Struthio camelus: one gene and its partner. The protein of the gene in region 2 purifies or fractionates together with the protein of the main gene of each other region. This does not show direct contact. Links are inferred from orthologs where the notes say so. Each region holds a gene or a part of one and is shown on either strand. Other genes may lie near its edges.

Evidence for each region. Proteins that work in one complex are often made in the same cells at the same time.
Region 1: the proteins of RACGAP1 (region 2) and FAM98A purify together in Homo sapiens (co-immunoprecipitation; 3 studies listed by BioGRID and IntAct, with this or other methods). This does not show direct contact. The link is inferred for Struthio camelus from reciprocal best matches to the Homo sapiens genes RACGAP1 and FAM98A.

What each region holds. Positions count from the first base shown.
Region 1 is NC_090944.1:103,512,708-103,520,253, reverse strand, and holds the start of FAM98A (protein FAM98A), read left to right. Parts: upstream 1-4,539; 5' UTR 4,540-4,728; intron 4,729-4,986; 5' UTR 4,987-5,022; coding exon 5,023-5,075; intron 5,076-7,546. UniProt on the Homo sapiens protein: Positively stimulates PRMT1-induced protein arginine methylation. Involved in skeletal homeostasis. Positively regulates lysosome peripheral distribution and ruffled border formation in osteoclasts.
Region 2 is NC_090969.1:1,510,720-1,518,122, forward strand, and holds the start of RACGAP1 (rac GTPase-activating protein 1), read left to right. Parts: upstream 1-4,393; 5' UTR 4,394-4,408; coding exon 4,409-4,534; exon of another isoform or gene 4,535-4,551; intron 4,552-5,440; exon of another isoform or gene 5,441-5,492; coding exon 5,493-5,577; intron 5,578-5,851; exon of another isoform or gene 5,852-5,959; intron 5,960-6,058; coding exon 6,059-6,261; intron 6,262-6,655; coding exon 6,656-6,792; intron 6,793-7,007; coding exon 7,008-7,077; intron 7,078-7,291; coding exon 7,292-7,345; intron 7,346-7,403.

The DNA of each region.
Region 1 (7,546 bases), on a different chromosome or scaffold from region 2:
AGGGCAAACAGACATGACTGTGAAAAGATGAATGGACTTTTTAATACTGTGAAATAATCTTGCTGTATTGAAATAATGCCCACCTTAATGTCATCATCTTCAGCCAGGTTTCCTAAGGAAGCGAGGCTTAAATTATCAAGGTGCGTGTCTTTGAACTGGATGACCCATTCCAGGCGAGTTTAACAAGCCTCCTACACATTGAAGGCCAATCCTTTTGGTGCAAAGCTGAAGAAGAGGTTGCATCAGCTCACACTTTATTAGATGCTCGGGAATCCTCACAGGACAAAGTCCTGTATCTTCAGTCAGAGCTCACATCATCCTAGACACCAAAACCAATCAGTCACAGCAGGCAAATCCACAGGAAACCAGTTGTGTGTCTGTTAAATGACAATTGGCATCAGATCAGTGGAGCGTTTCACACTTCTCCAGATTAAGTGTTCCTGGCTGCTGTGCAGCCTCAGGCTATGCAGGGACTGCCAGCTTCCTTGACCTGCACCTCACATCCTGAGAGCAGCTGACCAAGAGCCACTGTATGCATGCCACATCGTTCCAGGACTAAGGGGAAGAGGGGGCCAAGGAGGAGTTTACAGGGGTCCAGTCACAGTGGATGTGACTGCAGCAGCCTCTGCTGGTTTGGTTCTTCCCATAGGGGAAATAAAAATTGTTACCCCGTAACTCTTCCCACACTGGCACAGCCTAGCTGGCCACACATGGCTCCAGGCTGCAGTTAAATCACCTAAGGATTACACGGACTTCCCAGAGCTACACCTCTCGGAGTGAAGGTGAGAAGGCGCGGAGCTCTAACAAACCTCAGTCAGGAAGGGAAAAATGCAAGGCAAGTTGAGCTCAGTTCTGCAGCCTGAAAATTCTTTGGAATAAGGCAGAAGTCTTCTGAAGCCTTTGGATAGCCCATAAAAATCAACGACCCCACTTACAGCTCTTGAGCGAGCTGACAACCTGAGTCCACGCTACTCTCAGAAGTAACTGTTTTGCAGAGCTACGGATCTCATTGCTTAATAGCAAACTGTTTGGGGCAAGATTAATTTGTTTCTGAGAAACACCATCCATGCACATTGATATTGCTGTATGAGTGATCTTGGCCGGCTATCCTTAGCTGAGACATGGGACATAAATACTTGTGGCTGAAACACTGATGTTGAGATAAGTCAACAAATCAGTCTACTCAGCTTTTAGTCAAGCTAAAAGTCTTGCTGTCAGATCATGTACAGAAGTCTAGTTTTCTTTACGTAGCACTTGTTTTATTCAGGCATTTTTTTTCATGCAAGTTTGACATTCTGGAGAATTCTCTAAGCACCCATTTAATAGGGGCCAGCCTGAAAAGGTTCGGAATTAGTTTGCACTTTTTTTTTTTTTTTTTGGACCTGGAATTGCAGTACAAATAAACAGGCCCTTACCCCCTGTTTGTTCCTAATATAGATCTAAACGACCCTGCCAAAGTCAGCGGAAGCGTTCTCTTGAGTTCAGGACTTGCTGCTGGGGAATATTAGATGGAAGGTGAAGCAGTTAGTACAAAACTAGTTTCTTCTTATGCCCAAAAGACCACGGTGAACTAAGTCAGAGCAAACTCCTCAGAGATAAGTGAATTTGCAGGTACACTGACATAAAGCGGTTTTGTTAAATAAAGTTCTTGCAGCACATTTGCAAAACACATGCTTTCCAATTCTGTCTTCTGTAAGGAGTATGGCAAAAACACATTATGCTGGAGTTGTCACCTCACAGGTAGCCTTGCTGTTAAGACAGGAAAGTCACATCTTTGGAAAACATAAAAATAGGGGCAGAGGAACTCACTCAATTGTACAGTTAAACTAAGAAGACCACAATGTATTCAACCAGTAAAAACACTGTTTGTAGTGCCCTCAAAATGAGCCGTATCTACGTAGCTAGTTAGTTCATAGGACAGTGATGCATATACAAACCAGACACACCAACTGAAATCAGGGTATCACCTAGCCCAGTATTGCACTTCCAACACTGGCCCTAAGCAGACGCTTTGAGAAGAGTAAGAACAGGAAAAACACATATATTACTCCCCTCTTTTTCCCTGCCCATATATTCTCCCAGCTATTTTCAACTCTTGGGATTTCCTGATACTGACGTAATTTTTCAGTTTAGTAACCATCAATAGATCTCTTTTCCACATACTTGTTCAGTCATCCCATGAGTCCACGTGATCTCATAGCCACAGTGTCCTCAGCAGATGAGCTGCTGGGATTTGTGCCAAAATTGCTAGCCAAACAGCAGCCAGCCCACGCTTAAAGAATATTTGGCTTGTGAATGACCAACGTTTTGGGCAAAGTCTCTTCTAGTTATTTGGGCCACAAAATTAACATTGCTTTACCAGCTTCCTAGTAAAGCTCTACTTCCGATGGAGGAGATGAGCTCAGGAGGCTCACCTGGTTTCAGCACCCTCACCTACCAGTTGCATGCAGACTCCAGGACAAGGGAGGTGCACAGAGATGTGGCTCCGCAGAGACCTTTCCCAACCTCACCCCAGTTCCAGATGCAACAACATTTGTGCAGTGCCCAAAGCAGCTAACAGCGTTAAGGGCTTTCTCCATCTCGAACACCGTAAGGGCTTTCTCCATCTCAAAACAATGATTGCTGTACACTGTTATCACAGGACAGCAAAAAAAAAAAAATTCCCTTTGGATCAGTTGGCCTGCAGCTGTGGAAAGCCATCAATTGCAATGGAAGAGTAATTAGCACTCGTGAAAAACTACTATGCTTTGTGCACATCCAATTGTGTAAGCAAGCTGAACACAACCATTTTATTAACAAGTGTCACAAGGCTTCAACTGCAGTGTTGAACTTTAGACGGAAAAAAACCCCAGCTTGGTCTGCTCATCCAGGCAGGGCTCCAAGACTGAATATCTGAGATATTCTGAGTAAATCCAGGATGAATGGACTAAAGTAAAAGCAGGAAATTCTTACAGACATGTTTTGCCCAGCAGTAATAAGACAGCTTGCCATGAGCATAATAGATGATCTGATTTTTCAAACTGAAATTGCCTATGGTTACTCTTTACCAACCATGACACAACTAGAAGTAAACAGGCAAAGAAACAGGAATGCCGGCATTATTCCTTTCACATGTCAGTTCTTAGTCTTTAGGAGGTAATTTTCCCCTGAACTAGTAGTCTGACCTATTTTTAATGGCAAAGCCAACAACTGAACCACCTATTTGTGAAGCATGACTTCTTTCTAGTCCTTTGAGGCACCGTGTTCCTTCTTCTCACCTATCTTGAGGCTACAAGCTACTTCCTTGTTTGACTACAGTTCTTCTTTTTGCTTGCCAAGGGTGATTTCATGAAGTGCAGGCAGCCAAAAATCCTCTGCTGGAACATCAGCTCACTGCTGTTGAAGGGCTGGAGTTATTTTCAGCGTCGGCACTCTTGGCTTTCACTGACACGGCCTGGCCTTTACAACACAACGTGCTCTCCCACGCACGCTTCCCTTTTAGCGCTGACGTGCTTTCTGTGGAACCGCTGTGTCCCAGGCAATATGGTAATACTGACAAGAAGAACCAGAAAGACCAGGCAAAATTATGCCCTAGCCCACATCTGAGCTTTCTATTACAAACGCTGCATCTTTATCCATTTGCATGGCTTTCCCTTCAGAGCATGCTGGCAACTAAGCAGCTGGGGGAACTGCACAGTGTTCAGCAACTTCCTTTCCCCCCAGGCAAAGGAAGACTTAAGAAAGCTGCCAGCTCACAACCTTAAGGAGTCGTACTATTAGCATAAAGTCAGGCAGACTCTGTTCCAGCCAGCACTGCTTTAGCATCTTCAACAACCAGGTTACTTCTAGGACAGCGGCACATGGCCGCAGCCGGCACCTGCCAAGGCACAGCCTGCCCTGGCCCCCGCAAACCTGCCGAGAGACGAAGCAGACCCGCACTAGCAGCAGCTTCATCTTTTCCTGCCACAGCCGCACTTTCTACCACGAGCCCCTGCCCCACCGTCCGGGCCTCCCCCCCAGTGCCGAAGGCCCCAGCCTTCCCTGGCACACCGGGGCCCACCCCACCGGCTCTTAGCTCTGCGGGCCGCCTCCTCCCTAAACCTCGGCCACCGGCCCCAGCTCCAAAGGGACGGCAACCCCCCTCCCCCGCACGGCAGCGGCCAAAACCCTGCGGCCACCGACGACATGGCGCCGCAAGGAAACCCGCGCCCCACAGGAAAACAGGAGGCGCCGCGCCACCCTACGGCGGCCGCGAAGGCCACGAGGAGCGTTGTATGCTGGGATTTGTAGTCCCCATGCTGCCGCGGGGGACCTCATAGGCGGAGAAGCGTTCCGTCACTGATGTAATTTGACCCTTCTCCCGCCCCGTCTCCTTCTCCTTTTCTACCCTTATGGGCTCTACGGCTCACACCAGCACATTCCAGCGTGGGTTCTACGGGAGGGAGGGGGGGTCCTTTCTCAGGGACTGCCCGCAGCGCCGCCTGAACAGAAACATGGGATCCTTCGCTCGCCTCCGGCTTCCGTCCCTCAAAACACTTAGGCGCCCGCCTGGACGTCTTCGTCTCGTTTGGCAACGCGGCCTGGTGCGGCGGGGAGGCAGGAAGTGCGGCAGAAGCAGGCCAGACCGATCAGGCAGCGCGCTCGGGCAGCCCTCTGGGAGCCGGGTGAAGGGTCATGCCGGGGACCTGCTCCCTCCCCCACCCTGACATGCCAACCCGGCAGTCGGCGGCGTAGCAGCGCGCGGGCAGTGTACGTGGGGGCCGGCGGGCGGCGGCGGCGGCGGCGGCGGCGGCGGCGGCGGCGGCGGCGGCGGCGGGGGGGGGGGGGGGAACGCGGCGCGGGGGGCAGGGCGGGAGCAGGCGCGCGCCGGCGGGCGGGCGGGCGGGCGGGGGGGGGTTCGGTGGGGGAGGGGGTAACGGTCGAGCCCCCCTCTTCCCCCGCCATGGGGAGAGGCGGGGGCGGCGGGGCCTGCGGGTGGCGGGGCGCTGAGTGCCGGCTCTCACGCAGGTTTCCCCCCCCCCCCTCCCCGGTCCCCGCCGCAGGATGGAGTTCGAGCTGCTGGAGAGCGACGTGCTGGAGTCGCTGGAGGATCTGGGGTAGGTGCCGCGGCGCCGGGGGCTTGAGCACCGCCCTGGCCCCGGGCCTTGCCTTGCCCCGGCGCCGCCGTCGGCTGGGCCGGGGGGAGGTGGCGCGGTTGGCGGGTGATGGCCCCCGGCAAGGGGCCCCCGTCAGGGGAGCGCGGCTGCCCGCCGGCGGCGGGGGGGGCGGGCAGGGAAGCGGGGCTCGCATCCCCCCGGCGCTGCGATGCCGGGCAGAGCCGCAGCCGGGGCTCCCCGGCTTCAGCCCCGGCAATATCCCTTTCCTCATGACCACCTCGGGGGGGGCCGGCCCTAAAACCACCCGTGGGTAGTGTCGCTTTGGCGTAAGGAAACGCGCGAAGCCAAGCAGGCTGCTTTTAGCCGCAACGTCTTTGCAGAGTTTTTGCCCCCGTGGTGAGTGTTGGTTGCCCAGACTCTGGTGATGCCCTTCCTGTCAGTAGAGCTCTCCTGGCTGGAGGTGGGGAACGAGGAGAGAAACCTTGTCGGAGAAGTGAGGGGAGGGGAAAGCGTTTGGGCTTCAGTTCTTGTGGAAAAAAAAAAATTGGTAAAAAAAAAAAATAAATGACGTAGTATTTTCCCTTTAGCTGCTTTTTTTTAGAATGTAATGCAAGAAACTTGTGTTGTTTAATCCTGCTACTCTGTCAGAGTCAGCAGAGGTTGTAAAAAATATGCGAGAAAGCAAGCGGAACATTGTCGTAGTGTAAGCTTGTCTGCCTGTAAACTGTTGAGGGCTCAGAAAAGAGGCCGTTGCAATTTTACTGCTGCTGGTTCTGTGCAAACAGCTGTATTTTCTCACATTGGCTGCATTCCCGTAAATCACTTTGTTGGAGCATAATGACTCTAGCCACAAAGATTATGTTTCCAGGCTAAGTTGGTGATGATAGCTCCAATGCTTGACAAATAGGCTACTGTTTTTGCAGGTATTTGTTTGACTGAAATGTGAAAAGGTCTCTCTCATGTTGCAAATACCGTAAACTTCTGCTTTTTTTTCCTGCCACATGTTTGAAAGGATATTACTGACTTGAAGGAGTTATGATTTGTGTAGTAATCACAGAAGTGATTAGAAACTCTTGCTGTTGATTCTTGACATATTAAAATAAAGCGAACAAGCCAAATGGAGTAAAAAGTAAGTCAGTGATATCAGTGGTGATATTGGCAGCAGTGTTTGTAAAGAAAATTTGGGGAGCAAAAGACAGGACTTCAGCAGTAACAGGAACAACCTGGAAGACTGCTACATGCATGCAACTAAAAGATTTCTGTTAGTTTCCTTGTGTTTGTACAAGCTTGGGGGCTTGGGGTTTTTAAGCTTTGACAATAATTCCATTATCCTTTGAAGTTCAACATATTTTTTTTCTAACTAAATGCTGAAGACTTACTTTATTGCTTGATTTTTGTTTAATAGCATTGCACATCATAAAATTGTTTGTTTGTTCTTGAAGTTGTGTGAGAACTGCTCAAACAGTGGCCTCTTCCCTTTTAAGTCAGTTTGAACTATTGAAAAAGCAAACAAATCCGATATCAAAACGCTACTGAAGGAGAACGTAGCTCGAGAACGTACACTGTGGGAGAGGGGGAGGAATGGAAGCATGGGCCTGAAAGCTTTTAAAGTGCTTTAGAAGAAAAAGGCTGGCGAGGAAGCTGCAAGTTGGATTACTGGCTGAATAGCTGTATAGTTGAATCATGGTTATCGGAAATAATATAGTTAAGATGTCATATCTATCAAAGAAAAATTTCAGAGAAGGAGCCTCTAACATGACGAGCAACTTAAATCCAGATCCTGCCAAAGCAAAAGGCTTGTCGTCAGCTCTGCTTAGAGCTATAACTTGATGTTTCTATTTTGAGTCTTGTGTGTTCCTATACACGTGTAAGTCTGATGAGTCTGTGCGGTGGGACTTAAGCTTACTCTAAGTAGCCTGTTGGAATTGCATCTGGCTCACTGTGGTAATGCGGTGGGGCTGAAGTAGATCAAATTATAACTTCCCATCAGCTCCGTATCATTAATCAAGCTGCTCTTTGGAGTAAAAGTTACTTGGAGTATGGCTTCTTCATTTTGGTTGGGTGAAGCTATTACAGTGAAGAGAAACCCTTTATATGTAATGTTAATCAAAAGAATAAAGTATGGAAAAATAACATATTATTTTACTCTTTGAGAGATTTGTTGCTTCGGAGATTGGCCAAGAGTTGACTGAACTCACTGGGTCGCTGTGACTTAATGGGTAACTTTACAGTGGAAACTTGAAATAGCAATTTCAGTTGATTATACTCACTCTTGGATGTCCTTCTGTTTTGAGTGCGGTACGCAAAAGTGATATTGTGGATTTTATACTCTGGTAAGCTCTAACTTTGTTCCTCTGCCTGGGTAATAAGGCTGTTTCTCCCTCCTCTTCACCCTCCTCTTCCCCCCAGCAAGGTACACAGACGTCCTGAAAACTACATCTTTTAAAATCAGTTCTGTAGAATCATGCTTT
Region 2 (7,403 bases):
CCGGGTGAGGATGCTGCACCGGAGGGGAAAAGCCCCCGCGGGCGACAGCCACGCTCTCCATCGCGCCCCAGGCTGGGTGAGCCGCCGCCGGCGTCATCCCGGCTCGCCCCGAGCCCATGCAAAAAAGAAAAACAAAAAAAACACAAAAACCTCCCTAAAAGCGGCCGTTGGCCCCTGCCGGCGTGCCGGGTCACCCCCCCCAGCAGGGATTTACGGCACTCGGCCCCGCTTGGCTCTCGCGGCGCCCGGAGCCGCCAGTCCATTAAACACTGAGTCATCCTCGGTGGCATTTAATTTTGCGAGGGGCAGCAGTTTGGATAATTAAAGGCGGCCGCAGCCAAAGCCGGCGGCTGCCGAGAGCCGGGGCGCCGCGAGGCCGAAGGCCGCCGAGGGGTGCGATGGCGCCGTGGGAAAAGCCTTGGGGGGGGGGGGGCGAGGAGGGAGCCGGCTCCGTTTCCGCGGGAAATCCAGCGCCAGCATCCCCGCGCCGCGGGGCCGGATTTTGGGGGGGGGGCTTTTTAACCCCTTCCTGCCCGGGCCGAGGGCCGCCGGCCCGCGCTGTCTCTGCCCGGGTTAGCCGTGTCCTGACGGGATCGCCCGTGGGCAGATGTGCTCTCTGGAGGCCTTGGCTTATTAAAAGGACAAGCTGTTCGGGGAGCTGGTAATAAAGCCGTGAAAGCTGTTACGCACCGGAGTTGAAGGCACTAATATCGCTGCGCTCTGCGTGGGTGAGAAATTAGACAAGAGTTCCTCCGTGCTGATCGGGGTTTTTTTTTTCATTTTTTATTTTTTCCCTCCCCCCTATTCATCTTTCTCAACAATTATCTTTTATTTTGATATCTTTCTATTTAAACCTCCAGAGCCGCGCTGAGGATAACAGAGGCTGAAGCGCTGGAGGAGCGGGCACCGCGCGGAGCGGCCGGCACGGCCGGCGCTGGGGAAGGGGTTTCGGCACCGGGCGGCCCGTCCCGAGGGCCAGGAAGCAAAATCCCCGCTGGCCCCTCTGGCTCCCGGCTCATCCGGTGCCCAGGAAAAGGCCGGTTAGGCGGGACGGATGCGACCCGGCGCTGGTCCGACGCGTTCCCCGGCTCTGGAGCTGCTCAGACCTGCAAAGCCTGGGGCAGAGACCCAACAAACTCATTTCCCAGGAGCCGCGCAGGATGCGCAAGCCTCCGGCGTCCGGCTCGGCTTTCCGGGCTCCTCTTTACCTGCGAGAGGAATTCAGCCAGCGTACGGAGCAGAAGGTGCAACGCAAAAGCCGACAGAACGATTCGGCGACGCCGGTGCGCTTCCCGCAGCGGTAATTCGCGTGATTCCTGTTTTTCACCGATCCTTCACAAAGCGCCTTTAGGCAGCCGGGACTGGCCGAGCCTCGGCGTGGGGCTGCGGCGGCGCCGGGCGGCTTTCGCCTGCCGCCGTGAGACGGGGCGTTCGCTGCCTCCCCGCAGACGGAGCCCGTCGGCAGCGGGCAGCCTCAGCAAAAGCCGAGCCAAGCCGGGAGTCAATCGCCGGCACGTTACGCCGGAGCCGGGGATGCCCGGGGGACCGCCGAGAGGCACCGACCCTCCGCTCCGGGGGGGAGGCACGTCCGCGGGGTAGCTGAGAACTGCCAAGCAGTGACAGTGGTGGCTCTGCGAGAATATAAACGTACCTGAGGGCAGAACGTCTTCGCTTTCCCACTGGGAAAAAGGGGGAGACGCGAAGTAGCGGCTCCCAAACGCCCCCGTTGAAAGGTGGGTTTTGACCAGGGATGCTGGACCCTGCCGGGTGCCCCGGGGCGGCTCCGGCGCGGCGGCCGGAGGACGCGGACGTGCCCGTTCGTCCTCCTCGGTGCTTCCTCTCTGCTCGCCATCCGCTCATAAAGTTTGGGCTCGTTAAATCCCCAAAGGGCTTCCGAGGGGCTTGTGGCTCGGAGCACGCAGCTCCGAGCCCCCCTCCGCTTGCCCGCCTGTCTGCGAGATAAGGCTGGCGGTGGCTTTAATTCCCCGTTCCTGCCTCGCCTGCCAGGTCTCCTGCCCGCTCACCCTTCATACGTACCACACAGAGATTTGGCTGCCAATGGGCTGGAGATAAAGGTCCGGTCCCACCAGACCTCCTTCCTCCGCGCCTGCTCTCTCGACCTGCGTCCGATGTGTTAAACAACCCCTGGCGCGAGCAGCGCAAAACCTCCGAGCGAGCATCCTCCCCGCTGGCTGCCCGGCGTGGGTCACTGCAAAACCTCCGAGCGAGCATCCTCCCCGCTGGCAGCCCGGGCGTGGGTCACTGCAAAACCTCCGAGCGAGCATCCTCCCCGCTGGCTGCCCGGCGTGGGTCACTGCAAAACCTCCGAGCGAGCATCCTCCCCGCTGGCCGCCCGGCGTGGGTCACTGCAAAACCTCCGAGCGAGCATCCTCCCCGCTGGCCGCCCGGCGTGGGTCACTGCAAAACCTCCGAGCGAGCATCCTCCCCGCTGGCAGCCCGGGCTGGGAGCATCAGCAAAGGCGCCGTCGTTCCCGGGCCTCGAATCGCTTCCGCTGCCGTGCTGCAAACCTGCCCAAGAGGGAGCACCGAGGGCCGTGGCTGCGTCTGGCCTTGCTAAAAAGCCTCTTTCCAGCCCTGGCGGCGGAGGCCAGGCTGGATGGAGGCAGCCGGGAGAAGGGTTAGCGCCGGCGCACGCGGCGTCGCTCGGGGTTTGCAGGAGCCCGTCTCACTTTTCCGCCGGCTCGGAGACCCTGCGAGCGGCTTCGGCGCTCCGAAAGCTGCTGCCCTGGATACAACAGACGCGGTGAAACAAACCCCGGGTTGCTCGCTGATGACCCTGTGCCGACGCCGACGGGGAGCTGCCGGCCTGAGCATCGTTTCTCTTGCAAGAAGGTCGAATTTAAATTAAAAAAAAAAAAAAGAAAACAGAAAAGAAAAAGGCTTGATGCAGGCAGATGGGGAAGGGTTTGAGCTTTAAGGGGACTTCCCCGAGCTCGCTGAGACGTCCGCCCGTCGCCCTGCAGCAGCAGCACCGGCCTGGGCAGCTCTTTCGCTTGCAGGTCCCTGGGCACCCCGGTTTGGGAGCAGCCCCGACAGCGTGGTTTGAGCGCGATCGCTCCTAAATCCGTTAAGAAGTGACATCTAAAGTGCTACAAATAACCCTCTGATTATCTGCCGAATCCTAACGCTACTCCCTGGAGATAACCAGCTGCGGTTTTTCCCCTGGGCCATGCAATAATCACCCCAATTACTCCCAAGCAGCCGTTGTTAAACGCACGGCCGACGTTTTCCCCTTTGCAAAGCAAAAAATAATTAAGCAGGTGGCGGCGACCGAGGTCGTGTCTGCTCGCCTGCGGGGAAGGAGGGGACCGTCCCTTCCCTCCGCGGTGACGGGAAACCGCGGGAACCTTAGGAGAAACCTAAGGGTTGGGGGGTGACGCGGGGCGCCTGGGGCGGTTTGGGGCGGCCCGCGGCCGGCAGCACCGCCGTTACCCCCCCCCAGCTTATCTCCCCTCCCAGCTTGTATTTCAGCCCAAATATCAGAGGAAGACGGAAGATTAATTTTTGCCGTTTGCATGGGAAAAAAGATTGGGGGGGGGGGGTGAGCCGGACTCCCGGCGGCTTAATCCGCGGCCGAGACCTGCCGAAGGAAACGGCAAAAACGTCTCGGCGTCGGCGAGATCCCGGCGCGGGGAGGGATGCTCGGCCATGGCCGGCATCGGCAGATTAGCATAAATCCTATTAACGGTTTTTAACCGGAGCAAACATGTCGGTGGAGGCATCATTTTCCCGAAACGGGAGCACTTAATAAACGGCCTCGTTCGTGTGTTAAGAGGTTGCTGGGAGGTTTTAGGTTTTGGTGAATGGGAATGTGTGGAAAATGGAGGTTTTGGGGTTTTTTTTTTTTCCTCCCACCGGCCTCGGGCCGGGAAGCCGGGTCCGCGGATTTCCCTCCTCCTCCTCGGGGGTGGAAATTCGCGTATCGGTCTTGCTGTGGTCGGTGCCTGGAGGCCTCCAAAGCCGCAGCCATCGGCGTTTCCTCGGAAGCGAAGGCGATTTTGGACAACGTTTCATCAAATATCTTCGAGGCGCCTGGGGAGCCTCGGAGGGCTGCAAGGGGCCCATCACCCCCCGCATCTACGGGAGTGGTTGACCGCTGTTCCTGGGCTCGGGCCTCGGTGACAAGCCCGGAGGGTGGCGGCACGGACGAGGCGGGGGACGGACACGATTTTGGGGCGATCTGAGGCCTGTCAGCATCCGCCGCCTGCTCCGTTGCTAAGCAACGCAGGCTGGGACCAGGAACCAGCAGTAAAGATGGCGCCGGGCCGGCTTCATCACGCGGCCTCTGGGGTCCCGTCCGCCCTCGCACGAGGGAGTGGAGCAGAGAAGCCACGCCCTCAGCAGACATGGCGCCGGCTCGGCTTCAGGCTGGCGGTGAGCGAAGCCAATGAGCGGCCGGGAGGGCGGGAGAGCGGCCTGTCATTGGCTGGCCGCTGGGATTCAAACCGAAGTGCGGGGCGGTTGGGCCGGGCGGTTGCAGCCGGCGGGAGCTCGCGCCGGGCCGGCGCCTCAGGTGAGCGGGCGGCTGAGGTAAAGCGGGGCCGCTGCTCGGTACCGGGCCTCCGGGGCCCTCGGTACCGGGTCTCGCCCTGCCAGCGAGGCCCTCGCTTGACCGGGAGGAGCCGGGGGTGGGGGGAGCTGCCTCCGGGCCTCGGCGCGGGCCGGCGGCCCGGGCCGTCCCGGCGCCGGTTTCCTCAGAGATTTTCCCCTGAGGGGGCGGTTGTGGCGCCGAGGGCCGGGCCGGGCCCCGGGGGAGAGGGGGAGGCGGCTGTGGGCACCCTTCGTGCTGGCCTCCTTCCCTCACCCGCCCCCGTCGGGCTGGGCAGCGCCGGGCTAGCGACCCTGCTGCCTTTAATGCAACACACGCAATAAAATAAACCCGGGTTTGCTCGCTGACGACCCTGCTGGATAGAGAAGTCATAGCTGTGTTGCTGAGCTGGAGACTTTTTCTCTTCGTTTCTTCTCTTCTGCTATTGTTGCTGCTGTTTGAGGAAAACATGCTGACTGCCCTGAATTTCAAAAGCTGTTTGCTGTGGGAGCTGTAATTTAAAATGCAGCTAAATTTAAAACTGTATTCAAACTCTTCAGAATGCTGCTCCTATTTTTATCTTATGAAATGCTGAAACCTTACAGATCTTAGTGGCCTATATAGTGCCAAGTTACTCATAGCCTGGGTGCGAGTTATGTTCTGCAGCCTTCCAGAAAGAAAGTCATCTTGTCTTGGGGGCTTGAGCCTCTGTAGTATACTGCAGATTACTTGAAGCAATTACTTGCCTCTTCATATTGCTGTTTTTTTTATCCCTGAACTATGGAGGCATGAGGCTGCTCTTAATGCTCTAGGAATTAGTTGAGATGCATATGTCTTGATTAAAATGCTGTCTTTGTTTGTCTTCTTTGGGCTGCTAACCTCTGCTTGAAGGTGGAAGGAGAGGATTGGGCTGGTTATTTAGGTCCATTTTCTTGGCAGGAAGATGGAGACAGCAATGCTGAATTTGCGGAATCTATTTGATCAGCTTATGCGCCAGGCCGAAGTTTTAAGTGAGGGAAACGAATATCGTAAGTCCTGTCTCTGTGGGTAGTTCCAGTGGGCTGCTCTGTGTTTGCTGTGGGACTATAAACGTGCAAACAAACATCAGTGACTGTTACTGGACAATCTGATGGAGCTGTGGGTGATGAGACTGATGTGGGTAGCCAGACTTGTGTGGGGGTTGGTTGATTGGTTTGTTTTTTCATTGTCTAGAAGGATGAAGTCACAGGCTGAACTGGGCAGGGCTGTGCTCTGCTTCTGTAGCAAGCTGACTTCATCCATGCAGAGTCTTGTATGTTCTAGCTCTTCTGGTTGATGCGAATGTGAAGGACTTGGTCTGAAATCTTAGTGAACATCTAGAGTGCAGTTGGCTTTGCTGAAAGGCCAGCTTGTCTGCCTCTTCTGTCAAGGGTGGGTTACATTGATAGATGCCTACTGTCAGCAAATAGAGGCCTGCTGCATTTCCTCTGCTCGCTTTAGCAACTAAAGATTGAAATGTTTTCTACCCAGAATTTATTCAGTTAGCAAAGAACTTTGAAGAGTTTCGGAGAAAGTGGCAGAAAACAGAGCATGAGCTTGCCAAGTACAAGGATCTTCTAATGAAAACGGAAACTGAACGTAGTGCTCTGGATGTGAAGCTGAAACACGCTCGCAATCAAGTGGACGTGGAGATCAAACGAAGGCAAAAAGCTGAAACAGACTGTGAGAAGTTGGTGAGTAATTCTTCATTACCCAGTTAGCTCATTAGACTGCAGAGAGATAGTGGTTAATCTGCATTGATCTATAGAAAATAAGGACTGGCAGCCAAGATAATTGTTTTTTTTTAAAAAAAAAAAAAAAGGGGGGGGAGGGGGCTTGGCTCCTTGTAGTAGCCTTCTGCTTTGAATAGCCTTTTTATAGGCCAAAGCCTATCAGCTGCTGTTTACAGGAGAGCTGCTGTTACCTAGCAGAGCATGGGCTGCTGTCGCTTTGTGGCCGTTAACGTTCTCCTGAGACAAGTTCTGAGAAAGACGATCTGTGCAGTATCTCAAATACTCGAGATTGGTTCATACGGTAATTAAATGTAGTCTATGCTGTGGCAGCTTCTGATGCTACCTACCTTTACAGGAGCGGCAAATACAACTGATTCGAGAGCTGCTCATGTGTGATGCCTCTGGGAGTATTCAGCTAAGTGAAGAACAGAAATCTGCCCTTGCCTTTCTTAACAGGCCACAGGTTTCTGTAGGGGGTTCAGGTAACAAAAGGTAGGCAAAAGAGCGTTTTGTCTAAGCAACATAAGTAATGTCAATTCAGCTTTGTGTACATCTGTGATCCTACTAACACTGCATTCATATGAGCAGAGTTTCACTCTGTATTCCACTTGGAAATAAAGCTCTTATGAGTCAGTAAGATTGTTCTGGAACTGTGGCTCACTGAAAGCCTAACTGACACATGTTTCTTCTAACTTTTTTCTTTTTAGGCTGTCTACAATTGATGAATCTGGCTCAATTCTGTCAGATATCAGCTTTGACAAGACTGATGAGTCACTGGTAATGTAATGCCAAGTACTGAAGCTCTCTTCAACTATAAAACCTTAAGGGTGTGGGGTAATCTCCAGAGAAGCATTGTTTAGAATACTATGGTATTAAATTGGTAGAGCTGATCTGCATTTCTTCAGTGTGCTGTTGGCTAAAAGGTAATGAAAGTCTGGCCGGAGGCTATATGGTATTTACACTGAGCTAACCAGTGGTGTGTTTCCCACAGGACTGGGATTCCTCTGTGGTGAAAGCTGTTAGACTGAAAAAGAGAGAAAAGCGGGTATGTTGAATTCTTTCCTTCAGATGGGTTCCGTTGTTAGCCTTAGGTGACACAATGT